4 linked regions of the Struthio camelus genome follow. The protein of the gene in region 4 purifies or fractionates together with the protein of the main gene of each other region. This does not show direct contact. Links are inferred from orthologs where the notes say so. Each region holds a gene or a part of one and is shown on either strand. Other genes may lie near its edges.

Region 1 (7,761 bases), about 97 Mb from region 4:
TCCCCTGTTGAAGAAAAAGCAGGTCCAAATACTTCAGCTGACACTTACAAATAGTTGTCAACGTTTTAAAACAGGTTACAAGAAAGATGTCTTGTCCTTTGCAGAGTTCAGCACTTGCTGAAAGATGAGTCAGTCTAAGAGGCACAATAGTCAGGTCACCCCCAATTATGACAGTAACTACCGATGGCCTCTCCCTCTGCAATTCTGAAAGGCTGAAGTTACAATCAAATCTATTAATATCACAGAAGGAATCTGTTGGAACACGGGCCTGAACAAAACACTTTACTCAGTCTTGCACTTGATTTGTCACTGTCCTTTCCTCTTGCCAGACCATTTGTCCCACTTAAAGCAAAACCTCAAGGCTGGTGGCCCACATTTCAGCTACAAGCAACCAGGTAATTGGAAGCTTACAGCCACAGTCCCCTGCAAACATGCTCCCTTCTCCCCCAGTTTGAGAAATCAAAAGAGTCTGAAGACTTATTTCACAGATCCCAAAAAGACTGACCACATGGACAGCAACAATACTTGCTCTTTACAACAAAGCATAACTACAGAAAAGTTAACAAACAAAACATTGATATGGCTTTTCAAATAGCTCTTAGCAATTAGTTTTCCCCACACGAGCAAGATAGTGACCATGTGAAGTTCTGCCATTAAGCAGACAAATCAGAAAGATACATAAACCAGACCTCTGCCTGAAAGGTTGAAAGCCATTAATACAACTTCAGCAAGCACCCATTTTCTTGGGGGTCACATCATACTCGAAAACCAGAGGAGAGAGAGTTCTAGACAGACACTCATCCACGTCATACATTTTGCAGATCACCTATACCTTTGCTTCTACAATGCGGGATAAACAGCGTAGAAGTAACATGCTGTGTTTACCCAAGAAGAACCTGCCCCCTGCAGAACATAAGGGAATGCTTTCACCTACAACTCTGAGAAGTCAGAGGTTATCCGAGCTAGAGAGTTGGAACACAGGAAAGAAAACAAATTTGAGGCTTGCCTCAAAGGACTAGAATATTCTTATTTTAGGAAAATAAACTCACTAAATCCTTTCTCCAAGTGGACTCTGAATGTCTCCACTCAAAGCATAAAAAGGAAAACATGAAATAAATTACCATTTATATCTACCAATCGGATCCCAAAATCCAGGTCTTGGAATGTTACAGGGTCCTTGGGTTGCTTGCTTATAAAAACTATAGAACTTCAGCATCATTTCATTCGTTGGCTGGAATGAACCTAGAGAAAACATTTTAAAACATAACTTAATTGGCATCAAGAATATTAACTAGTATTTTACAAGCTTAGAATTTCTGTGAGAAAATAGCCTGCAGTTCTTTATGGCCTGATTCTCAGCAATACAATTTAAGTCAATGGAGAATGTCTTCATCCACCTCAAATCTAAGGTAAACATTCTCAGTAGGTCTGAAATAGCAAGTTTCAGACCAAGTGTAAGGGACTACAGACTTAATTTTTTCTAACTGGAGAGACTAAAATTAGAAGTAGACTAATAAGTAACAAGCAAGCCTCCTTTCACTCAGTTAAAGGGACAAATTCAGCTCTCTGTAAACAGTATGTCACAAGTCATCCTACTGTTACAAAGGGTAACCTGCTGCAAGACTCTGTAATTAAAAAAAAAAAAGCCAAAGAAGAGCCAAAATACCCAGCAACCTTCTCTGTTGTTTTTGTTTACTTTGGGTATTTGACAGTACTTTCAATAACTGTTTCACTTTCTCCTGTTCTTGTTCTCTCTTCTTCCTTTGTGGAAGAAACACACACAGACACAAGAAACATAAATGCAAAATTGGAACAACTGGCAGAGAAGAGAATTCAGATCCAGCCCATTAAAGGAAATATTTTCAAGTTCGATTCTAGTCATTTAAAGAAGTTCATAGCAATTTTTAAATTAGCACCACAGAAAGAAGTTTCTTATATCAGAAATAAAATGATGTAATAAGTGACCTGTTTATTACTCTTATCAAAAAGACACACCCTGATTTTTCATTTTACCCTTTTAACTCTTCCAAGGGAAGAAACGCATCGACATAAGAGCTCTGAAGCCATCAGACCAACCCTGCGACCTGTGCAGGCCCTTCTCCCGCTTTCACAGCCGGGAGCCGCAGGCCGAGAAGGAGCCGACCCTCTCCTCCCGAGACCTGCCGCAGCAGCTTCTCCGGCGGGCCTCGCACCGGCGCCTCGCCGGGGCTGCGCTCAGGGCCAGGCCTGCAGCCCACCCGCGGCCGCGCCCTGCCCCCGGCCGCCCCGGGCAAGCAGGGTGGCGCGGCCTCGCCTCCGCCGCCGGGCCCTGCCGCCTCGCAGGCGAGGCCCGAGCCGATGCCGATAACCCACACCCCCCCCTCCCTGCACTCACCGTTTTTGGGCAGGCTCTGGATCACCTTCACGGCCGCCTCGAACCTGGTGGCGTGCACCGAGCCCGTCTCCGCCATGTCCCCGGCCGCCGCCTCCTCCTCAGCCGCCGAGCTGCTTCCCTCGCCGCGGCGCCTGCAGCCACCGCACGGGAGAGGGCAGGCAGGGGCCGGGCCGGGCCGGGCCGTGCGCCGCCGCCCCGCGTCCCCTCAGCGGCGAGCCCGGCCCCCCGCGCTCCGCCCCGCTCCCCCCTCGCGCCCCTGCCAGCCCCAGCGGCCCCCCAGCAGGGCTCAGCCCGCCCGCCCGGCTCCTCGCCCTGCACAGCCCACCAGCAGGACTCAACCTGCCCCGGCCTCAGCCGCCCATGTTATGTCTCCCCACAGCCGCTCCCTTCCCCTCCCCCCCCCCGCCCCGCGGCCGCCCGGGGCACGCTGGGAAATGTAGTCCGCCCGCTGGGCCGGGCCGGGCCGGGCCTGGCCCCGCGGCGCCTCGGTCGCCCGGCGCGGCGTTGCTCCGCGGCCCAGAGTGGCGGCACGTTTCCTCCTGCCGCTGGAAATAAAAAGCGAGTGTGCGCGTAAAAAAGCACCTGCTTGTCCTCAGCCCCTCGGAGCTGCCGGCGGGCGCGGCCGCGAAGGGCAGGGCTACGCCGGGGCGGCGGGCCGGGCCGGGCCCCGCGGGCAGGCCGCGGCCGAGGCGGAGCCTGCGGAGCTGCCCGGAGCGATGGCGGCGGGGGGCCCGGGTCCCGGGGCCCGGCCGGCGGGGAGCCGCCGAGGTGCAGCTGGGCCGGCGAAACAGTTTCTCGCCTTTATTTTTGTATTGACTCTTCTTCAGCTTCTTTCTTTTTCTTTGCTCTTTCTCCTCTTCCCTACTTGTGTAATGACATATATCAATCATATAAGTGTTTCAAAACGTGCTGTGTTCTGCCCATTTTGTGGACTTTGGCCAGTCCCTCGGTTGCCTTTTGAGAGACAGCCCGCTGCCCTGGCAGTCGGCCTTGCTGCTCTCGCTCCTTCTCTCAGCTGTTCTCTTGCAGACTTTACACAGTAAACACCACTGTAGCCACATATTTTTGTAATAGCTTTAATGAGTTATATTTGTGCTAATATTTTAAGGATTTGTAAAATACAGGGACAGGTTTTTAGCAGCTTAGAACCCTGAGAGTAACTATTGCCGTAATATTTGGAGATGGGGGTGAATACAACCAGCTAGCTCAGGAGCTAAATTGATGAATGCCCTTATTCAAAAGTGCTGCACATCCAGCACTCTAGGAGTAATCAGACAAAAGTGTGCTAAACGAGCTACTTTTGTGACAAGTGGAATAATTTACCCAGTGAGCAATAGGATGAATTAATAGGCCCTTTGAACAGAACTCAGTACAAAATCTTGGCATTCAGATAGGTTTATTTATCTGGTACACAATATATATTTTAAATTCCTCTTAAGGCAGTTGTGTGATCACAGTATATGCCCTCTGGTGGGAAAGAAAAGCTCCACAGAGAGGGAATTAAAGCAGATCAGCCCATGCTCTGCTGAGCTAGTATATTCCACAAGGTCAGCGGCCAGCTGGCCAGAGGAGAGCTTTGCTGGAGAGAGGCTTACGCTTCCAGAGGTATTCAAACAGGATTCTCCACAGTGGGCAAATGATGCACTCGTGTATGAACGTCACTGTTCCACTTGCGTGAATGTTACAGATAGATTTCTCTGAATTTTTCATTTTGAGTGCTATATTTTTAAACCTCTAGTGAGCTTTATACTAAGATCTTTCCTCTTTTTTTATCCACAAAGCTAGGAATGACAGAAGCTCAGATCAAAGGGAACTGTTTGTGATAAGTGGGTCTCTGTATAAATATGAATTCTTTGAGCATACAGGGAGTTAATTGCAAAAGAAAGAAAAATGAAGGGCCTGTTGTGAGGCCAGCTGATGTGCAAATTCTATTTACCTGAGAGAATCTGTGATGTCATTTGCCTTCTAATTGATTTAAGCAAAATGCTATCTGCATTTTTTATAATGAATGTTCCCAGGCTTTCAGTGGAAATAAGCTTTAAAAGAGATGCAAATGGCAACTTCTTTAATGGCTGTGTGCAACAACATAGGCTGCCATCTTTGCACTGAAGATATGTGAGAGAGTGAGATTTGCAAATCTAGAATGAGACACTTAAAGTAACCCAAAATAATCAGTATCATCATGCCCTGAGACAAGGCTGAAATAGTAAATGAGAGGCAAATATGAGCACTGATGAGCCTGTGAGAACAAATCATAAGTGACTAGTTAGTTAAATGCTCATATATAATACTAATTAGCATTGCTGTTAGCTTTCTCTGTGTATACATATTGCATACCATGAGCCAGCAGTGTGCCCCTGTGGTCAAGAAGGACGGTGGTATCCTGGGGTACGTTAAGCAGAGCGTTGCCAGCAGGTCGAGCGAGGTGATCCTCCCCCTCTACTCAGCCCTGGCTGAAGCCTTCCCTGATCTGAAGGAAGCTGAGGATCTAGACTCCCTTCTTTAAGGAACGAAATTACGGGATGTTTCTCTGTTGTCCACTGGGTACCTGTTGGGAATGACCACCTGGTTAGAAAATCTTAACGATAATCCATGTGCTGAATTGGGCTGGGTTTCTATTACTCTGCAAGAGCAGCCTCCAAAGCAGTTCAAGCAGCAAATGGGACCAGCTCTTACTCTTTTTTTGGATCCAGTATATGTGAAGCTATATCTTTGGAACTGTACCGGAAAGACTGACTGATGTCCAGTATGTGAGATGGCAGAGAGAAGGGGGGACCATGGTACTCTGCTACCAGCATGGTTTGGTGGTGAGCACGAATGAGGACCAAGAAGCAAACCTTCTCCATGATGTGTGAAACTTGGCCTGTCCGAGCGCTTTGCTCTCTACTCACCTTCTCTTCAGCTGGCATTTCACAGACTGCTTGTGGAGAGCCTGTGAACTGAATTCCTGACAACGTTCTGAGGCACATAAAAATTTGGACGGAAGTCAGCTGTCATAGTGCCTGAAGGTAGACAAAAAAGGCAGTGTCACAGTTTGACGGGCCTGAGCCACTGGTGCTGTGGTACACGCCTAAAGGGCAGATGCACCAACTGAAAGGCATATGAATAGGGACACCAAAGTGAACAGGCAACCGCAACCTAAGCAGATTTGGGGTGGCAGTATGGGCGTTTGCGCGGTGATGAATGGATTTACAAACGCTACTGTTAAAATTGACAATAACGTTTAATCAAATAGCAATCGCAATAACAGATATAACCCGTGAACAGTGTAACGATTGTATGTATATATACACCAATATTTACAAGGAATGGAAAAGATGGATCATATGTATGTACACACAGTAGTAAATGTGGAAATGAATAGAAACACGAAACATATATATACAGAAATAAAAGGAAAGATGCCCAAAGGGCTGCACTGGGCGGACATGCCTCTCCCCAGCATCGCTACTGTGAATTCAGTTGGCCACACCTGGCCGGCATGCCAGACCCCAGTATGGAGACCATAAGTAAGAGCTGGCCACACCCCAAAGGTGTGCCAGACCCCGTGCAGAGACCGCAGCTGGTGGAATTAGGCCACACGTGATGGTCCACCTTTTTCCCTATTCTAGGATTTTATGGTCTTACGGACGGCCGTCCCCTTGCGTGGTGACTCCCGGTCCAGCATCCCGAACGCGGGGTGGGGCAAGAGCGCATGCACTGCTCGAGGTCCTCTTCCTTCTGCCAGCCCACGGCTTCTCGGCGAGACCTTGCACAAGGCCACTCGGCTTCTTCGAGCCCTGATAAGGGCTGCCAAGCTTCCTTTGGCGCGGGGAGTGATTTCAGCTCCGATGTCCTCTTCTTTCTTCCCTCCTCCACCGTCACACACACGCGTCGCCATCGGCACCACGCGCACACTACCAGCGGTAGTTCTTTTATAGATAGCCGGAGAGTGGCCATAGGCACACTTTACGATGATGTAGCCTATGCCGACTGTTTATTTCTTGATCCTTCATTTGCACCTACTGGCATGCAGACAAAATTGAAGACTTAAGGTGTCAGGTCTTTGGCAGCAGTCTAATACCACGTGCTCTTGTTCGGGCAATCAGTGTAAAGCTGTTACGCCCGGGGTCGGGGGGAGGACAGCCTGACTGACAGGCAGCACTTGCTAGAATGTTCTAGGGGCCACTGGGCTTCACCATGACAGGTAGACAAGCGTGATCCTGACTGTAACCTTAGACTTGTCCTTCACAAACAGGTTAGGCGTGGTTATAAGGCCCCATGGAGTTATGGCACAGGATAGTCTGTCAAATCTGATGTGTTGAGCTACCTTAAAAGCCTCATTTTCTGCAGTCTGTAAGGTGCCGCTGTCCCTGCATGCTCTTCTCATTTGCATCCAAAATCTGACCTAGTTCTGTAGCAGTTGCTTCCAGTGCCAAGCTACACCCCAGTCCAGCTTGAAGAGCACATTCATTTCGCTTGAGAAACAAAGGAGTCAGTTAAAAAGCAGAAACTGGAACCAATTACACCTATTGCTCCCTCAAGAGTCTGAATCGTAGCAGTGTATTTTACAGAAATATGTAAAAATGGTTCTTAAGAAAGTAGACCATAGTCTTATACATATTATGAGCAAGTTCTGTAAGCTACCAGATGCAAGAGCATGTAATTTTAGCAAAACTTACTTTTTGAAGTGTGTAATCCAGCAGGCACGGGGAATGAATTATTTAAAATCTAATAGTCATGATTTTGAAGAACTAAATTAGCATTACAACTTCTAAGTCATATCTACATGCTGATGAAGAATGGAAAGATGTGGCTTATGAAGGATAGAGCTTTTCATAAGGAGTAGTTTTCTACATTGTTCACAGCAGAAAGGCTAATGTATCCGTTCATATTTACTTACAGGATTTTTTTTAAATAAAATGATGAGGGATGTTTATGTCAGAATCAACAGCTCTGGCGAAAGAGAACTATTTGCCTCTCATGAATATGGCAAAGACAGCAGTTAAAGCTTGTCCACCTATGTAGGCCAATCCCTATTCTTCAGGAAAAGCCCTTTGGGTGAGAGACTCGTTTGGAACAAGCAAGAACGCCTTTTGGGTTGGAAGTTTTCCTGTGAGGTTCAGATACAACCCTTAATAGCTTGACTGGAGAAAATGATCATTTCACAATTGGGGATTAAGTAATGGAATTATTTTAAACCATTATTAACTGTGGCTGCTTTGCCTAAGGATTAGGCTCCATGTTAAGGGTTAAAGTTAGTATATCCAAATTCACCTCTCTTTCGAGCTGTTCAATTCAGGTATCTCAGATCTCTCAACAATCACTATTGTGAGCTCCGTTTTTGTTTCCCTTCACCTCCCCCCTCCTCAAATATTTCCAAAAAGAGGATCCAGTAACAAAAGTGT
Region 2 (7,955 bases), on a different chromosome or scaffold from region 4:
CCAAAACACCCTGAAAAGTTTGCATGCAGCCCATAACACGTGAGATCCAAGTTATCCAGATGCAGCTCTGAAACCCCAGTACACAGCTGAGCTTTACTGCTCCAAGTGTTGCATTATTACAAGTGGGGAATACATTAGTCATCTTTAAAACTAAAATCTTGTTTTAGTGCCTTTGCAGACAAGAAAGGTTGAACCCAAGAGTTCTCCCTGGATGAGATGCGTGAAAATTGCCAAATTCTGCTAGCATCACCCTGCTGTTCCTCCTTCCCTCTCAACTAACGCAGGCTCTTCTTTCTCTGCAGGCAACCCCCAAAGAGAAAATCCAAGGAACCGGTCAGAAAAGCTTTTTCTGCTTCTTGTACCTGCCCAAACGTCGTGTAAACAAACACGGGGATCTCCGCTACGGTCATCGCCAAGGCCTGGATGATGGACATCCCCTCTGTCCTTCGAAATGCCATGTCTGAACGAGCACCTCGGCACCTCCAGGAGCCCCCACGGGGAAGAGCGCTTGCAGACGCTGCGTTGGCTGCTCACAAGGAAACCCAGCTTGCCCTCGACCTCTGACTCGGCGTCCTGGGGTCAGTCTTCAGCCAGCAATCCTCTTCCTGCACGAAGAGGGAAAAACAGGCGAGTGAAGGGAACGCGCGCTCACGTCTCTGCGCGGCACTCCTGAACGCCGACCAGGCTCAGCGCAGCACCGCAGCTAGGGCCAAACAGGAGAGCTAAAGCGTTTTCTCCCAGACAGCAGCAGTTTCTGCTTCTCCTACTAACCGTGGGGGCAGATGCCCAAACTACTCTACAGCAGGAGACCAAGCATCCTCGAACTGGATAGCTGCGACTACACCAGACATTTCCACGCGCGCCAAAAGCGGCTGCACGCAGTTGCAGGGATTTTGTTTGCAGCCCCCCCTGTAAAAAACTCCTTCGTCCAAAAAACCCTGTGTTCACTTTAATTAGCAAAACTCCGCTCCCCCTCAGTTTTGCGACCGCATCAAAGATCTGCTCAAAAGCCACCGAGAAAAGAGCGTTTGCCCAGGGGTTTCAAAGCAGCTGAGGTTTAAGCGGCGCTTTGCTGGCCGCGCGGGGAGCCGGGGAGGACAGGCGTGCTTCACGTCAAGGACAGAGCTAGGAAAGAACGTGATGAAACCTGGGGGTGTCTTTTAACTGCAACAAAGTTAGAAACGCTTTGGCTCCGCTGGCTCTTTCCGGCGAGCCAAGTCCACCGCAGCCCGGCGACGCTGCACCTCCCGTGTGCGGCTTGCAGTCCGGCCGGGCCGGGCTCTCGTGTCTTCCCACACCGACGAGCTAAACCCATCCCGTGTTTTAAAGCTGCGTGATAACTACCTGCTCCTACCTGACCGTAGCGCTCGCAGCGCCCTCAGACCCAAGGTCTCACGAGCCCCGGGGAGGGCATGACCCCATCCGGGAGCCACATTTGCAAACGCCTCTCAAGGTGGCTGGAGCCTGCAGGGAGCAGACTCACGTGACGGGCTCTCAGTGCAAGGTTAAACGCAACGTTTTGGCCAGAGCACAGAAGAGAGCAGCGAGGGGCAAGAAATCCTGGGTTCAGGATCCAGCCCGTGTCTGGCTGATGGGGGGCGTGCACAGTACCAGGGACATTGCGCTGTCCCCGGGCATCTCGCCCGAGCCCTGGCCCCGCTGGGGCGCTCAGGGCAAGGCAATGCCCGCACGCCAGGCTGCGGAGGAGTGAACACCCGAGCGGTGCTCCCGCTGCCCCTGGCCAGGCATGGCCCACAAGCATTGCAGCACGCCTGGCTCCTGCAACCAGGGCTCCCCAAGCTCCTGGTACCCGTGCACCCGAGGGGCTCCCCGGGCCCTCTGCACCCCTGGGCATCCCTGTACCGCCTGCACCATGCGCCCCTGGGCAGCCTCCGGAGCTGCTGCGCCTGGACGGTCCACAAGCTCCTTGCACCCCTCAGGTATCCCCTGCACCCCGTGCACCCATGCAGGTCCCCAAGCTCCTTGCACCCCTCAGGTATCCCCCGCACCCCGTGCACCCATGCAGGTCCCCAAGCTCCTTGCACCACTCGGGTATCCCCCGCACCCGTTGCACCCATGCAGGTCCCCGGGCTCCTTGCACCACTCGGGTATCCCCCGCACCCCATGCACCCATGCAGGTCTCCGGGCTCCTTGCACCCCTCAGGTATCCCCTGCACCCCGTGCACCCATGCAGGTCCCCAAGCTCCTTGCACCCCTCAGGTATCCCCCGCACCCCGTGCACCCATGCAGGTCCCCAAGCTCCTTGCACCCCTCAGGTATCCCCCGCACCCCGTGCACCCATGCAGGTCCCCAAGCTCCTTGCACCACTCGGGTATCCCCCGCACCCCGTGCACCCATGCAGGTCCCCGGGCTCCTTGCACCACTCGGGTATCCCCCGCACCCCATGCACCCATGCAGGTCTCCGGGCTCCTTGCACCCCTCAGGTATCCCCCGCACCCGTTGCACCCATGCAGGTCCCCAAGCTCCTTGCACCCCTCAGGTATCCCCCGCACCCCGTGCACCCATGCAGGTCCCCAAGCTCCTTGCACCCCTCAGGTATCCCCCGCACCCCATGCACCCATGCAGGTCCCCGGGCTCCTTGCACCACTCGGGTATCCCCCGCACCCCGTGCACCCATGCAGGTCTCCGGGCTCCTTGCTCCCCTCGGGTATCCCCCGCACCCCTTGCACCCGGGGGGGACCCCCGACTCCCCACCCCTGGGGCATTCCCCGTGTTGCCCGGAGCCAAAGATCACCGGGCCTCTCGCACTCCCCGCACCCCGGGGCACCTCCCGCACCTCCCACGCCTCCTGCGCCCCCGAGAGAGTCCCCCTCCCCCACCGCGATGGTGCGGCCCGCCCGGCCCGGCCCCCGCGAGCGCGGGCGGCACCACTCACCGTGACGGGGGGGGGGCGCGCGGCGCACCGCGAGGCGCCCTCTCCCCCCGCCGCGCGCCATGGCCGCGGAAGGGCAGCGTCTCCTTCCCCCGCGCCGCAGCCTACCCTCGCCGGGGGGCGGGGCCTGCCGCGGCGGGGCGGGGCCGCCTCCCGCCAGCGCTCCGAGCCAATCCGCGCGGCGAGCTGCCTCCCCGAGGACCAATCGGGTGGCTTCGCCCGGCCGGGCCGGGGGCTGCGGCGGCGGGTGCGGTTGAGCAGAGAGCGCCGAGCGGCCGCGGGGCGGGGGGGAGAGGGGGCGGTGCGAGCGCCCATTCGATGGCACTTGACAGCTGCGCTCGAGGCGACGGGCTCTGCTTAAAGGGGCCATGCCAGCCGCGGGCGGGCCCACCGCCTGAGGCGCTCACCAACTGCCCCGCGAGCGCGGATCCCAGCCTGCTGCCTCCCGCCAGGCCTTCCTCATAGCTGGGACAGCGTTGCAAGACAGCTGGCGGCGACGTGGGGTGGGGGAGGGCGCCGAGACCCTTTTAAGAGGCAGCGGCGCGGCGCGAGGAGGGCATCGATCGGCGCTATAAAGGGCGGGCTGCGCGGCGGCCGCGGCGACAGCGGGGGCGCGGCACGGCAGGGGCGGCTCGGGGCGCCCATCATGGACTTCAACGTGAAGAAGTTGGCGTCGGACGCCGGCGTCTTCTTCTCGCGGGCGGTGCAGGTGAGCGGGGCCGCCCCTGAGACGAGGGGGGCGGCCCGGCCGAGCTGGGCCGTGTCGCGTCGCCATGGCAACGGGCCCCGGCCTGAGGGGAGGCCGGGCCCCGCGGCAGCCGCCTCCCGCCGGGCCGGAGCCGTTCCCCGGGCTGGCTCCGCCTGCGGCCCCCCAGCCGCCGAGCGAGGCGCGGGCAGGAGCAGGCACCTCCGGGCGCTGTCGGCTTCGAGCGGGGCGGGGTAGCGCCGAGCAAGAGCACAACTGGACGGTGTTGCTGCCTCCTTGATGAGGAGGGGGTCCAGGGCATCGTGAAGCCGAACGGAGTAAGAGAGGCCTCAGAGAGGCTTCTAATAAATACGTTTTTTGGAAGGGTGTAGAAAGGGGAAGTGTGGTGATAACTGTCTAATGGTGGTTATTTGCAAAAGCTTATCTTGCAGGTGACTGTTGTGTTAATTGTGTCTATGCCAAAGGCCAGGCCCACTGGGGAGCTGTTCCCTTCGGTGAGGTAAATGTTTGCAGCAGAGATGGGCTTGCAGATGGCCTGTGCTCCGACCTCGAGGTCGGGTGGCAGCAGCTCACAGGACTTGGCAGAATGCAGTGCTGTTACAATGGTGGGAAAGGGCTCCTGAGACTGAGCTGGTAGGGTCTGCTTGGACTAAACTGGCACCAGGACTTAATACCAGGAGCTTGCTGGGGATGCAAGGACCCCCTTGAAGCTGTAGGCTGAAGAAACTTGACTACCCACAAAGAGTTAAGTGTGCTGCAAGCAGTGAGATGTGGCTGCTGAGTGTGTCCACTCTTTGGGCATAATAACTGGAATAGCTGTTCTTGGATGGGCAGAAGAAGGCAAGGGAGGAGGCTAAGCTGGAGTTTGTTGGGATCTTGCCTGAGAACTGAAAGTCAGCTGGTGACTCTGGGGCTGGGCTTCTTATTCCCCCTATTATGTGGGGGCTGATTAAAAACAACCAGAACAGTGCTAGCTTGTTCCAAGCCTTCTGTGCAATGGAGTAATTCAGGCTCTTTTGGAAACTGGTCTCCTGTAAACAGATATCACCTCCTGTTATTGTGCCAATGAGTCATATGTTATGGAAAGAGAAATATTAACTACAGGTGCAAAACATGGAGCAGATGGAGAGCTTAAAGATGCTGTTCTCATGCAAATGACCTTGATAACAAAAGAAAGGAGAAAAGCTGTAAAGAAATTGTATGTTTAGAAGGCCTATTGAAGCTAACAACCATTTATCAGAGACTTCTACAAGGCGTAGGAAGGAGACAGGCATGGGAACAGTGTCTGCACACAGCAATTCTAGAGCAGGGAGGCATTTATAAATAGTGGCTCCTGCCTGCTACACCTACTCCATATCATCCTGCATATGAATATCCACATGATTAATTACAGTAGTAATTACTTGAAACAAAGTGGCACAGGTACTTTTGGAGTGTGTGTGCTAGTGTTTGCATAAGCAGGGCAGACTGGGAGAATATGGATCACTGATGCTGAGAACCACCTCTTGAAATGCTGTTGCTGGGGAAAATAGTCGCATTTGGGCTCTCCCCACAGAGCTCTGCTACTGGCATAGTTGAGCATTGCTCTGTCCACCCCAAGAAGCAAATGACAGTTGAGGTCTGCTATTGGCAATAAGGATTAGGTTTGTAGTAGCCTTCTTAGCACAGCAGATCTTTCAGGAGAGGAATAAGACCTGGCTAGAATAAGCTCAGTTTTCTAGAGCACTGGGGATGCTTCCTTCTCCTCCAGGCATTTAACAAAGTGATGCTTTACTGGAACTGCAGTGACTGGGAGATAAATGGACCGGCCTTAATGTGCTGTGCTACTCAGACAGCATTAGCTGTTACTGTCTGGCTGAGATGTCTGGCCAACACACAAGAGCTTAACTTGTACTGGAAGAAGTGCTGTGGCATCACCCAGCCTGCAAAGGTGGGGGGTAAAAGGAGGCAGAACTGGTTTGGCACACTGTCTTTGGGGTAGCTTCCCAGAGACTGGCTGATGAGCAGGAAAAATGTTGGCCTAGGCTTGACCTGGCTGGCTAGTGGCAAAAAACACCACTGCTTTCTTTACGTGGCTTTTCTCAGCTCGGGTGCTAGTTAGGAGTTCTGCTAACTGAGGAGAAGCCAGCAGTTTGGAGGATCTGTGCTCTCCAGTGGACAAGCCCATACCCATCTCCAGCATGAGCAGAGGTGGCCATGACAAAAGCTGTGCAATATCTCCCCAAAACTGTGTAAGTGCCAGCTATCTTCCTAAGATTGTGTATTGGTTCACTGACATGGCAGTGTCTGTGGACCCCATGGCATCTCTGTTCTCCTTTAGCAAAGCAGATGATACAAGTTTTGGGGATGGAATAGAGCAAGAAGACGCAGTCAGCTCTGCCTTGGGCAGCTGCAGGGATAAAGGGCTGTTGTAGGACTTGGCATCCCACTTAAAGGTATGCCTTACTGACACACACCACCAAACAGTCACTTCCAGTTACCTCCTCAGAGGGGATGCAGCGCTTGGCCCCTAACAGCTCCTGCTCTGGCACCTGCAGACAAACTTCAAATAGATCACTCTCGTTGTTTTCCTTGAGTAAAACTAAGGCCTTCCTGCCTGCACAGCTGGACCTTTCAGTGATCTGTAAGTGGGGCTGATCCCCAAACCTCAGCAGAGGGAGCGATACTAAGAGCTCCAACCTGCCTCCAGGACTGGCAACTGTTGCTGCAAAGGTAGCACACTGGAAGTCTCTGCTCTAGACAGGGTTTCTCAGGGATGTCTGGAAATAATTGTAGGTGCCTGTCTCCTATCAGTCCTGATAGAAGCTGACTCTGGGTGAAATTGCCCAAGCATGAGTATGGCTTTTGAGTGCTTATCCCACTGCTAATGTAATTACTATCTTGCAGCTCCTGAGAAAAGACAGGCTCCCCCATCTTCCTGAACTCGAGTGATAAAATAGACTTTTCAGCTCTGCTAACATGAGCTTACTGGGGTTAATTGCTTGGCTACTGGGCACTTTAAAATGCAAAATCAGAGAACAGGATGTGACTGAAGAAAAGGGGGTTGAAGGCAAGAGGTGCAGGTCAGAACACATTTGTGGTTACGTATGAGCATAGGATGGTTATTTTTCCTCTCCTACATGCCTTGCTCCTGAGTTAGTAAAGCTGTCCTGTTAATGGCTTCCTTCTGTCCTCTAACACAGTTTCTCTTGGCTCACATCCTAGCTTTTCTGACTCCAGGTGACCAAATGCTTGAAGCATGCTCTGTATCTGGTCCAAAGCAGTTGATTCAGGTGGTAGTTTTTTAGATGCTGACTGAGTAGCTATAGCTTCTCTTCTAATGGGACCCTGTACAAGGGAAAGGACATAGACTTGTCTGAATTTGGTTCTTTCATGCCTCTGACCACCAAAAGAGCAAATGTTACAGTAACCTGGGTGTTATGAAGCTGTTTCTAGGCTTCAGAAAATCTACTGGCAGGTGCAAGAGAAGTCCCGATTCAAGACTCCTGACCCTGGTTTGATCCTTGTGATTTAAGGTGGAACACAATTTCCCTGTAACAATGTCTAACAAGGAACATCCAACTGGAAAAGCTGGGAACCTTGAAAGTGGTACAAGGGCCTGAACACATCCTCTGCAAGGGGGCTGTAGCCACCCTGTTAGAGCTCACAGCGTACAGGAGTGGGCCTGCTGGAGGGGAGATCTATGGAAAAATTGCACAGACCTGTAAGAGATACAAGTCTAACTTCTGCTGCATTGTTCAAAACAGATGTAGTGCTAACAAAATATCAGTGCTTCCACTGACTTATATTTCCCCCCTCTTTAAAGGGAGAAAGGTGCTAATGCTTTCAACAAAGCGATGTATGCGCTATTTTTAAAGTCTAGTCTTGATGGCCAAAGTAATTAGGGCTGCAGGCACAGCCTCTTTGATATTTTAGCTGTAGAGCAGAGGGGCCCATCCAGCTCAGCCCCACTTGCCCACCCTCCCTGACATCCCAGTAGTCTCTCCTCCAACTCTTGTGGGGAAAGAGGAAGTTTCTCCCAAGCTGGGACCCCTGCCCTAACTGCAGTCCAGCATAGTCTTGCTTTTGCAATCCTTGCCTGTTCCAAGTATTGCTCTCCTGATCTGTCATCCTGCTTGTCCACACAGGCCCTGATAATGCATCTAGTGTTCCTGCTGGCCAGCCAAGCCTCCCAGAGGAAACCCAACCTTTGGCTGAATTATTGATGCCCTGGAATGCAGCACAGCTCTCTTCCTGGAGAGTGAGTGTGGCACTCAACAAAAGGCCGCCCTGCATTATTAATCACCTCTTTGGCTTCCTTGCACAAGAACAGGACTAGTGCTCAGCTGGGCCAGCTGCAGGGATGCTTCCTGCAGG
Region 3 (6,923 bases), on a different chromosome or scaffold from region 4:
AAAGAGTAGGTTCATTACAATTTTGGTGTTTATTAAGCTATATTTATTCACATATAAGCAATTATGTAAGTACAGTATAGAAGCTGTATGTGATTGCAAGTGAGCTATTTTCCGTTAAACATATAAGCAAACTCCTCTCTACTTTTTCCCTTAAAGAGTAAAAATGTAGATAAAAGTCCAAGTTTTCCAATGTAAAATTTTATTAAAATATCATTTTAAAACAATACATTCTGCCAAGGGAGCAGTTTTTATAAAGCTTTCTGATAGGAAACAATTATTTAGATGTTGTTAGTTTAAAAATCTTTGCCTTTGCTCTGGTTATATCAACATGCATTTTTTTTTTTTATTGCTTGGGACAATGTTTTGTTTTCTTTTCCTGGTGCACAACATTAGAGGCAGAGGATTCTTTTGTGTTCTCAAACTTCCCGTTACTCTTTATTTCCAGCAAAGAGTTCTTTCACGTGAACAATGTAAGAGCCAAAGTATACAATTATCACTAAAGACAAAACAAAGCAATTTTTAGACTGCTATGCAAGAAGTCAGATGCTTACTAATAAGAAAAGTGAAGAGGATAATATGTAGATGAAAAGAATAAAGGAAGAAAGAATGAAAAACTTAATGAACCAGAGCAGCAACTCCTGACACGCATCATCAGCTAGCAGCTTTTCATACTCTCATTTACATCAAGAGAAAGCAGATCCTCTAAGATTTAGATCATTCCTTGTGTTTTCCTAAATTGAATCAGCTTGGAGTTCAAGACCAAAAGGCAAGCAACGGCTGCAGTATCTATACCAGCTCAGTTTAACGTAATGATGTTCCAAACAACCCTGCAGCTTAACTATTCAGTTCGTTAGGCAGCAAAGTAGCAGCAACGCAGACTTGGCGAAACAAGCGTGACAGGAAAAGGATTTAACGTCCCATGCAGTCAAATTCTTTTTTTCCCCCCCTAACTAAAAGATACTGTTGCAACTTGTGAAGGTATCTTAAGATAAGAGATAAGTTTTGGAAGTGTTTCTCCCTGTCAAAGATGAATGCACTAGCAATTTCTTCTTCAACATCAGTAGTTTATATTCTTATATAAAAGTCGCTTTGGGAACTCTTTTTCACTCACATTTATGCTTATTTATCCTGAACCAAGAAAATACCTGCAGTATCAACAAAACACACACATGCAGTATCAATAAATTACAACATATAAATCTGAAAGATTTGAAAATACCCAAATGAGCAGTGTTTTGAAAAATACTTGATTCCAACACTGGTCTGCCTCAATGACTGAATGAGTAAATATAAAACTACTCCAGAACACAGCCAACTCATTAAAATTGAAGAACAGCACATTTTAGAACATTCTTTGCTCCTCTCGTTTTTGGAAGTCTTCCAAAACTTTAAAAGTTTTCTCTCTTTACAGCTGCCATTTGATAGATCTACTTTGACAGAAGAAAAGTATTCAGCAGAAGTTACTTAACACAGACTATTCTCATGTACACTGCCAAATGAGAGAGAAATATTTTAATTTCTTCCGCACATATTTTTGGAAAACAAATGTGGGTTACCATCTTTCACCTTTATCTTCAATGTTCAACAAACACTAACAATTTCTAAAATGGTTCCAAAACCTCTCCTTTAGATTTAGACGATACCAAGAGTGCACGCATTTTTCAGAGCATTACAGGAGTAAAACAACATGTACCAAAGTAGCACATAACTGTTTTCTAGCAAAAGTTTTGGATAATCTAAGGTATGACAATGAAATCTGACTGTATAAACTTCTTCTGAAGTTACTTTCTTCCAAGTGCATTTCAACAACAAAGTAAATCGATTTCAACCTTGAACACAAGAAGAAAACAACAATAAAACACGTTATAGTAATATTCATGCAAAACTTTTACTGGTAAAGTTAACTAGCAGAACATAAAGTGTATTTTTACATCACCTTCACAACCGTTGCACCATTTCCCCCTCTTTCCTATCCACCCTTTAAGTAAGCCTCTCTGCTTTCTCTCACAGCACTGTTAATACTTGACAGGTCTTTATAAGCACCTCCACGGGCCTCTACCAAACTCTTTATTTACCACACAGTTGCCAAAAAAAAAAAAAAAGAACAAACAAAAAAAGCAAATATTGGCCTATACAGTTAATTTCACATTGCACGAACAAGAGGCAGGGCAGTGACTCATTGCCCTGCAGCGTCCGGCCTGTGTATGGATCTGCCTGTCCTTCTCTTCTGTCCAGAAGACAGCCTCTGCTCCAGACAGCTCAGCTTCCTGCTCAGAAACCTGCTCCTCAACTTCAGACTGCAGTTCTCATGAGGCGAATTTACTTTTCAGGCCCCCGAACTAAACGTTCACCTTACTCGCAGTGCCTTTTACACCGTCAGACAAGCCTACGCGGGCAACACTTGTTGACTGTGACAGGAGCCCCTCAGAGAAACTGCAGCCCTTTAAGGAGCAAAACTGCAGAACTTGCGGCACACAGGCTCCGCGCCGGCAAAGACCTTCCCCCGCGGCCTGCAGGACGACGGCCCGCACCTGAGGGCAGGCGTCCACCAGAAGCTCCCTGGGAGCAGGGAGAACCGCTGCGCTACCGCTCGGCCCTGGCGCCAGGCGCCCGTCACCGCCGCAGCACGGCAACGCCGCTCGGCCGCCCGCGGCCGCCTCCCCTCCCCTCCCGCGCCGCCCCGGGACGCGCCGGGGGCCGCCTCGCCCCCGCCGCCCTCCCGCACGGCCCGGCGGGCCGGGCCGACACCAGCTGCCCCTCAGCCCGGCGCGGACTCACCGCTCTCCCGGCCGGCCGCGGCGCTGCCCTGGCGGCGGTGCGGGCACAGGAAGTCGCGAGCCGCCTCCAGGTCCTGGAAGTGGCCGAAGGGGACGAGGGTGCACGACATGGTGCTGGTGGTCGTGGCGGTGGTCGCAGCGCAGCCGAAGCCGCAGCCGCCGCCCCCTTCCCGGCGCCGGCCGCCCAACCCGGAAACGGTCGCCGACTTCCCGGCCGCCCGACGGCCTCTGCAGGGCGCATGCGCGGGCGGACAGGGGCCGGTGGGGGCGGTGGAGGGCACGTGACCCCGGCAGCCGTTGGCGGCGGCGGGGGGGCCGTTGGTGGGGTGGGAGGGTGTGGGCCCGGCGGGGCCGCTCCGCTCCGGTCCTTGCCGCCCGGAGGAGCGAAGGCTTCTCGGCGGGGTCGGCTGGCGGAGGTGAGCGGTGTGCGGGCAGCGGCAGTGACTGGGATGCGAGGGATGCGCCGATCCCCGGGGCCGCGGCCTGACCTGCAGGGAAGCAGAGGCGGCGGTCGCGAGGAAGGTGCGGCGACATGCTGCAACGGTTTCATCGTCCGCAGCTGATGGTGAAGAACCCAGAAAGGCAGCAAATGCTGCGGCGGATTGGGACCGCACGCCTTCAGTGGGTAGCGAGAGGCAGGGTTGCTTTCTACTCTTAATTATTTTTGCAAGCAGGTATTTCTTGTGTTTAACGTGAACGTACCGTGTTGACAGCTGACCCCTCCAGGGTTAAGGCGGAGAGAAGCGTGTGCGAGCAAAATTCGGGGGGGTGATTTCTGAGCTCCACAGACATTGCCCCGTTAGCAGCCCTGTAAGTTATTTGCTAATAAATCTTACTTTACAGGGCTTTAACTGTATGGAAAATCCTGTTGCTTCTTGTCCCACAAACGTCTTTTATTTGTTATTGTCGATAACAACGTTTGTGCTTTTTTAGTAGTGAAAAGCAGAAATGACTGAGCAAATAGTCCAAATAAACCATTCTTAAAGTATAGAAAGTTTGGGCTTTGATACACTTCTTCGGGGTGACCTTTATCTCCAAAGACTTTCTGAGACTGAACACGTTTGCTAGAAGTTTCGTTCTAAACTGCAATTGCTTCTGACTTACCTGAAGGCACAGAGCGTAGCAGGCTGTAGCCTCTAGAAAAGCTCTATCCACTTTCCAAAGAAATTGGCTTCAACTGGAAACTTGTTTACCATTTTCAGCTGTATATTATTTTGCTACAGTAATCAGGATCCAATAGCAGTCATGCCCTTAACAACAGCATGGACATTTGTTTTTGTATTTTAAAGCTGTGGCCCCAGGCAATACACAGGTTGTCTTTGAATTTAAGCAGATGAATAATGCTGTGCCTATTTAATACAAGGTTATTGCATCCTGTTTTTTTTTTTTTTTTTCCTGAACAGGGATGACATGCTGTGTACCAATGGGAAGGAAGTTCTTGGAAAATAAGGTCGCTCTGTGGGAAAAGTTGAAAGCACTGGTATGGAGGAGTGGCTAATGATTTTCAAAAAGAAACACTAATTAGGCATGTAAAGCCTGCGGAAAAAACATTTAATGACAACTTATATGTGGAACATGTGCAAAGTCTCTAGTAATGTCAAGTGAATAAATAAAGAGCACACAAGAAATTAAATTAACAAGCTGGTTCATCATTGTTTGGTGATGCTTTTATCACATTATGAAAATTTTCTTCTTTAGAGACTCTTAATGAACATTGCAAGAGACTGTAATATCCCTGTCAGATGTGTTGTACACAGAGAAGTCAAGTTAAAAAAGTGACAAGATACTAATTAATGAATAAAATAAGGCAATGAATGATTCAGTAAATGAATTAACAAATATTTAAAACCAGAGTTAAGCCCTGATGAACTAACCTGAATACCTTGTCTACTGAATTACTGTTTTTTGTTACTTTTATTTTTGAAGTATTGAGGTTTGTAAGATCATCTGGAGCTTTTTTCATCACTGAATATTTGTGATTGATGCTGTCCTGTCCAACTCATAACTTTAGCATTTCTTGACTTTTGTCTACTGATGTGGTCTTAATAGAGGGCCAAAGCATATTCCTAGACACAATTACCTGTAGAGGATAGTGAAAACCCCCAAAGTTTTCTTCCTGCAGTTTCCTCTGGATTCTGTGGAAGGCAGTCTTGAGCCAGAAAGATGATCCGATTTCAGACTGCCACACTCACTCCCCTTGTTTCCGTGCCACGGGGCTCTCACACAGGATATTGGTGCTCCCCTCCCAACACTCCAAAACATTCAGTGAGCCAAACTCAGTAATTTCAGCTGCTGCTATCACCCAAGCCAGCAGTATAAAGATACTTTTTTTGCAGTTGCTTGTGGCTACTTTCATACAGAATAACATTTTCCTAAGTTATGCTTAGTGATAATTGTGTTTCTCACAGCGCCGTTCTTCCACCCATAGAAAATACGCTCTTGCATTATAACATACAAGTTACGTACATTTACTTGTCAATACAAGTTAATACAAGAAAAGAAGTAAAATGGCATTTATTGTTTAAATGTTAAAAGCCTCAACAATATTTTCTCATGATAAAACCATGTTAGGTGCGCTGTCGGGCATTTGTTGGGCAGTAGATTTATATTTCAAATTAAATTTTAATTTCTCCTTTTTCCTTCAATTTTTATTGAAATGATCTTCCATTGTATCTCCTTTTTTATCATTCGTCTTTTGCTTGCACATCTTTTTGGCATGTGAATATGTTATTAACTTGATAAGTGATTTGGCAGGAGAAGATTCCAACTGCATTTCATAAGCTGAGCAGTGTTGGGCACTGGTGATCTAAACATCCACTGCATGTACAGCTTTCCTTTAGCTTTGGATGTGCATGGACAGTGTGTGCAAAATAATGTGTGTCTGCCTCCCCATGAGATAGCCTTTGATAATAGCAGTGTTTTCACATGTAATTGTACTAGCAAAGCCTGGGCCAAAGTAGCTTGTAGCTGCTATCCCTGACTGATGAGATTTGACCTTTCTGCGATCCTGCTAAATCTTATTCAAACAAAGTATGTCACTATAGAAAATTATGTTTGTTGAATCTTGATTCAGTTCCATTGTAACAAAGAGGACATCTCATAATTTGAAGTTAGGTCTCGTCTGTTTAGGGGCTCTACTCAAAGCCACTTGAGGGTCTCTTACTTTTGATTCGGTTCTGGCTTTAGCCCCAGCATTCATGGCAAGCTTTTCTTCAACAAGTTTTACAGATTAACGATAAGCCTCCTTTTGTCTTGGTGGAGAACAGCAAACTCAACTTCCGGCTTGTGATAGGCACGCTTTTTGATTGATTTTTAAAATTTTGTCTTGCATCCGACTTCCGGGATATTTCTAGTCTTGCTTGTGTTTAATCACTGTTTTGTCACTGTTTGGATTATCAAAGACATTATGGGAGGAACGTGTACAGTTTGTAGCATACAGAAATTTCTATTTCAGAATATTCAAAATCATGAAACCTACAGCCTTGTGCAGTGCTACTTCTGTCTTGCTCCATTTTGGTGTAAAAACACTAAGAAATTCTGTAGTTCGTCCATCTACCAGCAGAGGTGGAGATCCTGTTGTCCATCTCACTGCAACATCTTGTACTTGTGCATCTATATCTACTGTGATTAACAGCCCTTCAAATGGCCTCTTCATATTCATGTATTTGTTTTTCTTCTGTTAGAAGATACGTTGCACTACGTATGTTTTTACCTCACTGAGCATGTTTGTGACAGTACAGGAGATTGCCCTTTGTCAGATTCATTGCTCCCCTTCCCTTTTTCTCTAGTAGCATTCAAAAGTGGTATCAGTGTGCACATGCTGCACATACTGAGTCTATGGTATTTTTTGTTCCCTCAAGATTTTGGTGCAGATCAGTGCCTAGCTCTTCTCAAGGCATATAAATTGCTTATCCTCCAAACGCATTCCGAAGGATGTCCGCTAGCATCTTTGCGTTGCCACTTATTCCACAGAGGTAAGCCTTGCTGAAATATAGTTACCTTATGTGTAAACGGTTACGTTTCTGCCTAGTGGAAAAGGGAATCTCTGTCAGAATGGATGTCTATGCAGTTTATCCCCATCTCAGGTCTGTAGGTGAGGAAGGAAGGAATAAGGGATATCCCTTTTCTCCCCTTTCAGCTCACCTC
Region 4 (7,743 bases):
TAAGAAAATCAACAAAACTATGTTGTTCTATTCAGAGGTTTAGACTTAAATCTGATCTGTTACACACGCATCATCACTATCAGGTCAGTAACAGCCATGGACAATTGTTGCAATAAAAAGAACCTTGAACAATCAGCTACACTGAAAAAAAAAATACTTTTTTTTTTTTTTTTAAACAAAGGCGCATGATTTTCTACACATAATTACACTTATTCTGAGGCCTACTCTCTCTTACTAACCAATCTGGTTTTTAAAAGACAATTCTCAGAATTTCCTTCTGCCACTACTATACTATTTAATGCAATACTTTAGAACTGAATTATTGTTTGTGGTACATAAACTTTTTTAAACAGCTCAGAAAAATAAGCAGTTAGAAAATATTTACTGAGAGAGCATTTGATGTGCTGCTTTTCCTACAGTGTATTGAAATACTACAGTCTCATTATGCTTCAGGTTTTGTTTTTCCTTAGTCTGCTCTACACAAGTTTTCGTCATACATGCATTAGCCCAAAACCAAAGTTCATGCCTAAAGATTACCTATTTCATACCGTAAACACACACCCCAATAAAGACTACTGATTGGCAGTCGCTTCACACAGACCTTCTAATCTAATATTTATTTGGTATTCCTTATATCCACAGTTTGTTTGTATCACACAAATACAACTTACAGAGTTTCTTCAAGCTGGAAGTGTTTGCAAGCTGCAAATTAGACATGGCAACTTTTTTTTTTTTTTTAATATACATAAATTTTCCTCCAACTTACTCTGACAAGAAGAGCACAGTGTCTTGAAATTTCAAGTGCAGGCAAACATGGTAGCATTTTAATAACACAAAATACAAGTGAAAAAACTAAGTTTCCACTATGGTTTTGGCTCTGTGAATGTGCAATTTAAAAACTGAAACTGTCAAAATAGGAAGATGTGGGATCCAACAGATTTTGGGTTAATTGATCTGATGGATCAATAAAACAATTACAATTTGTTATAAATCTCTATGATAAACCAGACTTAAGCTTTATTTATGAAAGCCAGGCCAATCAAAGGTATTTTGGGGGGAATACAATGTTTCACTGTAAAACAAATATTTATTTGCTCTACTCGGCCATTAAAAAAAAAATTTACAACATCATAAAGTCTGCTTTATCCCCCTAAGACAATATAAAAATGAGCTTACTGAAAATAGAAAAATTTACAGGATTAGACAAGTGCATATGCTGACGCTGCTTACAAAACTTAAAATCAGCAACATTAATTTTTTTTAACATGATCAATGTTATTTAAACTTATATTTTGAAACTGAAAAGTTCATGGAGATTTTTCTCAATACTCATCATGGGTACTAAAAAGAAATTCACTGAATACTGAAAACTGTTTATTATACCATGCTTTTTTAGACCCCTACTTATCAAGTATCCCTCTTAGCTTTGGAAAGAGCTTATCTTTTCACAATCATCTAATTTGTGATTTATTAGGAGGGAAAAAAACCCAAATGCTAAAGCACTGACTGGAGCCTATTCCGACAGATGCATCTCATGCCACTCATAGTCATGTGGTTGGCATGAAATACCTGAAATACAGAAACTTCTGAAATGCACACGTTCCTTTCTCTCATTCCCAAGGAGCGAACTGCCTTTTTACATAAGTCCAAGTATTAACTGACAACCTGCCTGAAACATGACACCCAGGGGAAAACGGGGGCGGGGGGGACAGAGGAAGAGGGTGTCATTCGCCAAGCCAGTGGGTCAGATTCCCTCAGGGAGAGGGCGCGGGTGACCTGCTCACACATCCGATGAGTGATGGTGCAAAATAACACCACAGATATCAGCACCGGTTAACAGCTAGACTCAAGAGGCGTGCCCACACCGTGGGCCAGAGCGCGGGAGAGGGAAAAGGCCAGATGCGAAGGTAACCGAGTCCTCCTCCTCGGCTCCCCTCGCCGCTCGCTCGCACCACGGCAAGGCACCCGCTCCTGGGTCTCCCCTACCTGCTACAGATAGAGGGAGACCTTACGGAGCGGCTCGGGAAAGGATCCGCAACCACTCAGACCCCTGCGGCCGCAGAAGTGACAGGAGCGCGATTCCCCCTTGCCAGGGAGGAGGCCGGACCCCAGCCCCTCCCCGGCCGCAGCCGGCCCCGTCGCTAAAGGGCCGGGCCGGGCCGGGCCGTGGCGCGGCTCCGCCCGCCTCCCCAGCGGAGCCGTGACACGGCAGGGCCGGTGCCCGCGTCTGGGGCACAAGCGGGGACAGGAAGGCGGCACCGTGCTGGGGCGGGGAAGAAGGCAGCCTCCGCGGCCCCGACGCAGCCCCCACCCCCGCCCGCGGGAAGCGGGCGGCCGAGCAGCGGGCGCCGTGTCCGGCGGGGGCCGGGCCGCGGCGCTGCCGGGGCCGAGGACACGCTCGAGTCCCCGCCGGATCCCAAGATGGCGGCGGCGAAGCCCGTTCACCGGCTCGGCGGCGCCCCCTCCACCCTCACGGCGGCCCCGGGCAGGCGGCGCCCCGGCCCCGCCGCCCCAGCCGAGCTCAGATGCCTCGAAGCGGCCCAGCGCCGAGGCGCAGCCCGGCCGTCCGGCCGCCGCAGCGCCGCTCCCCCCCGCCCTGCCGGCCGGCCGGCCTGCCCAGCCCGGTTCCCCCTCACCTTTGAATTTGAGGTCGGTGGGCGGATCGAGCACCAGGATCTGCTCGTGTTTAGCCAGAGCCCCGGCGGCCGCCATCTCGCTCACTCGCTACCGCGGGAGGAGGAGTGGGGGGGGGGGGAGGGAGGGAGGGAGGGAGGAGGAGGAGCGGGAGTGGGAGGCGGGGAGGCCGGGCGGCGGCGGTGGCGCCGCTCCCTCGCAGCGGGCAGGCGGACGGCGGCTCCGCGCTGGTGCCGGGTCGCGGGCCGAGGGGCGGCCGCCGTGCCGCGTCGCGTCGCGTCGCGTCGCGCCCCCTCCGCGCGCTGCTGCCCCACACCCGCTCCCGGCTCCTCCGCGCCGCCTCCCCGCTCGCACTGCCTCAACAGCCCGGCGACGCGCGCGCGCACGGCCGGCAACGCCAGCCTCTCCGCAGGCACGAGGGCGGCGGCGCGGCGGAGGCGGCGGCGGGCCCCTTGCGCGCATGCGCACGCCTCACTTCCCCCCCCCCCCCCGCCGCCAGTTGACAGCTAGACCCAGCGAGATGCCGCCGCTCGGCGAATCACGCGCCGCGGTGCCCCCTCCCGGCCCCGCCCCTCCCAACTGCCCCTGCGCTAGAGCTGCAGGGGGCGCGCGAGCGGCGGGGGTGGGGGGTAGGGGGAACGGAAAGGAGCAACGGCCCCCTCCTCCTTCGGGAGGACGAGGCGGGAGCAATGCGCATGCGCGGGAAAGATACTGGGCCGCGCTCCTGGCTCGACGCTTTGGGCGGCTTAAAACTCGGCTGGAGGGACTACGGCTCCCGGCATGCAGCGCGGCGGCCGGGCGGAAGCGTTGCGTGCTGGGAGTTGTGGTCCTTGCGCTCTCCCCGCCCCGGGTGGCCGCCGGCCGGTGGGGCTGGCAGCGGGGGCGGGCGGGGGGAGGTGAGGAGCCTCTCCGTGCCGCGCGGCCGTTGGGGCTGAGGCAGGGGCCCGCCGCCATGCTGGGGGCAGAGACGCGGCCTTTCCGTCCGCCGCGGGGAGGGCTGCCTGCGCGGACGGGCTTCAGCCTGCGCAAGGGCAGCCCGCAGCGACGTCCCAGGGCACAACGATCCTCGCTCCGAGGCGCGCCGGGGTGAAAGGCCCAAGCCAGGTTATAAGCAGGGCAGCAGCATGCAAGATCAGAGAGAGGAGGGGGGGGAAAGGGCATCTTCCACCTGGCTTTAAGGTAGGCGGTGGAGGAGCAGCAGGGAAGGAGTTTCCAGAGGTGTGGCTCGAAATGTTAGCTAACTCCTGATTTCCACCAAGAACCAGCATCTGCTTTAAGGGTCACTGTTGACCGGCATGAAAGCAGTTCTTGACTCTTGCAATCTGGTGAAAGTATACTAGGAACATGTACAGGAGGAGAATAACCTATTTGAAAAATATGTCCTGCTGATAAATACACTGAAAAAATCACTTAAATGGCCTTCAGCACGAACTCACCATGGTTAAGAGTTGAGGCTCGCTTCATTTCCTCGCTGAATACGCCTCCCTCAGCCACAACCACAAGGAAGGGTTTTGAGGCCATTCGGCGGGGGGAGGCCCTCGGCGTAAGTTAGGTCCAGGCTCTGCCTTGGCTTGGGCAGAGCTTTCACGCTCCGTTTCAGCTGTCTGCCTCTGCTCCTAGTCTCCCACTGTTGTGTCTCCTTCTATCAGCTCTTCAGCACCTTTGTCCATGCCATCCCTTTCAAGCCACCAGGTCCAGCAGTTCTCCTGCCTCAGCCTCAACAGTCTGAGTAACTGTCCCAAGGGCAGTATTTCTGGCACCGGTCCTTCTTGGTCCTAAGGTTTGAGACATTCTACCACACTAATGTGAGTTTTAATATTGTCACTGACTGAAGAAGAAATATGTTGAGAAACACTGTAGAACAGTATCTCAGCCTATTTTTACCTAATTGCAATTGGCTTTAATAGGTGGAGTTTTGTGGTACGTACCTGAAAATGTTGCTAAAGGCCTGTAACTATTTTGGCTGTAGTTTTCCTGCTACACACTTACTTTATGATGCCCATAAAATAAGTTCTTAAATAGTGTCTTTATTTACAGTACAACATATTTAAAGTTATTGTCTGATGCTGGGCTTTGTTAGCATTACCATGTTCCGCTCTGTTTATGCATTCTTGCCCTTGGGATCTGGAAGATAAAGTGAAAGACAGATACATTTTTTTCTGTCCTACTATATTTGTTCTTCTGTTGTTAACCAGGACAGTTACTCTATTGCCTCCACCTTCTGTTCTTTTCTATTCAGGAATCCACCAAAGATTAAGCCACAATGTATGCCTCTCAGAAGTGATAAGTGAACTTAACCCAAGCCGAGTTTCTCCATACCAAAAGAATTTTTGGGTCTTGGCTTTCAAAGAATCAAGACGTGGAGAACTGCTCTAAAATACTAAACGCTACGAAAGGTTCTATCCTTTCTCCTTTTAACAGGGTGAAAAATAATGGTAGAGATCACAAATTCAAAAGTAGCTCCTTCAATCTAGTTTCAGAAGAGAGAAATACCTGTGTTTTCTAATTCTTTTATACAACTCTGATATAGGAAAATCTGAGGAGAAACAGGAGTTAAGATCTTTCCTTAACATGACAGCATGTCTGACAGGTTTTCTCATGCATGTTTTTCAGTGCAAACGCATTGATGATATACATGGTTGCATGTTAGATTATGACACGTGACATCAGTGGGTGTGTGCAGGTTGGAGGAGGACTGGGTTAATTCTTCAGCAGCACGTTAAGAGGAACTGAATGGACTTCAAGCCTGGGCCCAAAGCACGTTTTTGCTAGCAGAGGGAGCATCACAGAACCAGTCAGGTTGGAAGAGGCCTCAGGAGGGCTCTAGCCCAACGCTCTGCTCGAAGCAGGGGCGGTCAAAACTGAGTTCAAGCCATGTTGCTCAAGGCTTCGTCCTGTTAGGTATGAAAGCCTCCAAGGACAGAGATTTCACAGCTTTCTTGGGCAGCCTGTATCAATGCTTGCCTGTATGCCTTGATGTTTGTAGGGTTCTGCTCATGTAGTCTCACAGTAAAGGCAAAGTTAGTACATAAACACTGAGTGAATGGGTTAATGGCAATTATTCCTGAACATGTATTTTTAATGTAGTGTTTGTTGTTGTTCAAACATGTACAACCTTAGTAATGCATTAATGTATTTTGTTGCATTTAATATAATTTCTGATCTCATGCTTTACACAGTACTGCTATTTCACCCAAACTGAAGTCATTTTTTATATTAAACAAAACCTATGTTGTTGATTAGCAATACCTGGCAGCCTTCTCCAACATATGATTCATTTTTTTAAACACATCATAGCAAAGTTGAGGAATGAAATCTTGGCTCTATTGTAGTCAGTGGAAAACCTCTCACTGATTTGAGTGAGATCATTATGTCATCCCAGAAGTATCCTTAGTGTATTCATTGCTGGCAGAAGACTAACATTTGCTTAATCTCAGGTTAACATTTGTCCTGTGTGTTTGTAGATCTTAATGTTTTTCACACGGTGAGTTTGGTACCACTGTTATAATATCTCAGTTTGGAGATGGCTGGACATTTTTCAAAACCGTTTGCTGTTAAATATTAAATGAGTTCTCTCTATACCTGAGAAGTATCAGTGTTTATTCAGTCTCATAATACTGTTTTGCACTGTTTATTATTCAGGTGGTTTATTCAGTCCTACCAATTCTGAACTTGAAAATGTCTTTCAATGAAAGACTATCGTGACCCTCTTGGCAATTTCTTGCTGTTATTAAGATTGCCAGAAAAAGCAACTAAGTGCTATATCAGTTTGTCATATTAATGGGAAAATTCTAGATCTCGCTCACTGAAGTATCATATGCATGCTCCATTGCTAAGTCAGTAAATAAGTCAGCAAAGGTATACAGGTAAAAGAACATTTTAATTTCCCTTTAAGGAAATAACTTGCCTCTTGGTGCTGCAATTTATCTTTTGAAATACAAAACTATTCTTAGCATACGCAGAGATTAAGCATGATGTAGTCATAATTTACTTGGCTGCTAATGAATTCCAAATATAAATTTAGGCCCACTTGTTATATTGTAAATCAAAGGTAAAACCAAAGTCCACACTATTATAGATTTATAGCGTTATTCAAATGTTAGCACAGACCAGAGGAGTAGGTCTTAGTTGGATATCTTCAAGTTTGTTCAACTACAGGGTATTTCTCTACTTAGTGACCTTATGATAAAAACATACAATGTACTTTGAATAGGCAAGCAGAGAAAAACTAATCCTGGGAAACAATCAGTAACACAAAACATAATAGCATCCTGATAAATAGCTGTAGTGTAAAATTTTTGTACACTTCATATTTTGGACTTGCTTCTTTTCTTGCTGAAGACAAAAATGCTCGAGGCCATTGGTGGTACCTTAGCATTTAAAGAATTGACTGATTCCTCAGCCAACTGAAAATGGGCTAAAAGCCATTAGACATTCAAGGACACATCAGTGTAAGGCAAATGAAAAATGACAGTGTTGTTAAGGGAACAGATTTTTGAACACCATTTTCGGCAATTGATTCTTACAATTCTCATACATTCATGAGGGATGTAATGAGACAACTGAATATACAGAACATGGAATGTGTAATGTGTTGGTTTTATGTTATTTTCCTGTACTTGGTGGAATACATTGTTAAGTCAAATATAAGTATGCTTCCATCTGCTAGAGTGCACACAAGAATGATATGAGCCTTTCAATAGTGAGGTTAGTCACTGGAAGATCTTTTACTTTTCCTCTGCAGCAGCAGAAAGCTATGATTTGACCACAAACATTTTTGGTCTTTCTTCTTTTTTGTAAGGGTGAGATTAAGACCCTTTTTGTACGTAGTTATCATTATCGATGATGGCAGCAGCGTCAGGCTTCAGAGCATTCAACTACCACTTATATAGTTAGGCCCTTCCTTGTCAGTTTGAATTTAGGAGATAGAAAATGTTGATAATTCTTTGTGCCATTTTCGTCCAAATCTGGGCAAAGCAATTGATGCAAAACACTTCAGAAAGTAATTTGCATCTGAGCATAAACTCAAGCTCAAGGGCCCCATAATCTTTGAAGCTGCATCAACTGATAAATGGTTGTGTGCTGGGATGTCACTAGGACTGTCTGATA

Evidence for each region.
Region 1: the proteins of VAPA (region 4) and ACBD5 purify together in Homo sapiens (co-immunoprecipitation; 4 studies listed by BioGRID and IntAct, counting the BioPlex papers as one, with this or other methods). This does not show direct contact. The link is inferred for Struthio camelus from reciprocal best matches to the Homo sapiens genes VAPA and ACBD5.
Region 2: the proteins of VAPA (region 4) and MIGA2 purify together in Homo sapiens (co-immunoprecipitation; 3 studies listed by BioGRID and IntAct, counting the BioPlex papers as one, with this or other methods). This does not show direct contact. The link is inferred for Struthio camelus from reciprocal best matches to the Homo sapiens genes VAPA and MIGA2.
Region 3: the proteins of VAPA (region 4) and RAB3GAP2 purify together in Homo sapiens (affinity purification with mass spectrometry; 3 studies listed by BioGRID and IntAct, with this or other methods). This does not show direct contact. The link is inferred for Struthio camelus from reciprocal best matches to the Homo sapiens genes VAPA and RAB3GAP2.

What each region holds. Positions count from the first base shown.
Region 1 is NC_090943.1:19,239,570-19,247,330, forward strand, and holds the start of ACBD5 (acyl-CoA-binding domain-containing protein 5), read right to left. Parts: upstream 3,003-7,761; 5' UTR 2,957-3,002; intron 2,771-2,956; exon of another isoform or gene 2,700-2,770; intron 2,611-2,699; exon of another isoform or gene 2,506-2,610; 5' UTR 2,451-2,505; coding exon 2,375-2,450; intron 1,243-2,374; coding exon 1,122-1,242; intron 1-1,121. UniProt on the Homo sapiens protein: Acyl-CoA binding protein which acts as the peroxisome receptor for pexophagy but is dispensable for aggrephagy and nonselective autophagy. Binds medium- and long-chain acyl-CoA esters.
Region 2 is NC_090961.1:7,075,195-7,083,149, forward strand, and holds the start of MIGA2 (mitoguardin 2), read right to left. Parts: upstream 3,011-7,955; 5' UTR 2,897-3,010; intron 1,460-2,896; exon of another isoform or gene 1,355-1,459; intron 606-1,354; 5' UTR 459-605; coding exon 363-458; intron 1-362. Other genes in the region: SH3GLB2 (endophilin-B2), read left to right, coding at 3,540-3,602. UniProt on the Homo sapiens protein: Regulator of mitochondrial fusion: acts by forming homo- and heterodimers at the mitochondrial outer membrane and facilitating the formation of PLD6/MitoPLD dimers. May act by regulating phospholipid metabolism via PLD6/MitoPLD.
Region 3 is NC_090944.1:117,734,720-117,741,642, forward strand, and holds the start of RAB3GAP2 (rab3 GTPase-activating protein non-catalytic subunit), read right to left. Parts: upstream 3,001-6,923; 5' UTR 2,888-3,000; coding exon 2,779-2,887; intron 1-2,778. UniProt on the Homo sapiens protein: Regulatory subunit of the Rab3 GTPase-activating (Rab3GAP) complex composed of RAB3GAP1 and RAB3GAP2, which has GTPase-activating protein (GAP) activity towards various Rab3 subfamily members (RAB3A, RAB3B, RAB3C and RAB3D), RAB5A and RAB43, and guanine nucleotide exchange factor (GEF) activity towards RAB18.
Region 4 is NC_090943.1:116,078,913-116,086,655, forward strand, and holds the start of VAPA (vesicle-associated membrane protein-associated protein A), read right to left. Parts: upstream 3,013-7,743; 5' UTR 2,713-3,012; coding exon 2,637-2,712; intron 1-2,636. UniProt on the Homo sapiens protein: Endoplasmic reticulum (ER)-anchored protein that mediates the formation of contact sites between the ER and endosomes via interaction with FFAT motif-containing proteins such as STARD3 or WDR44.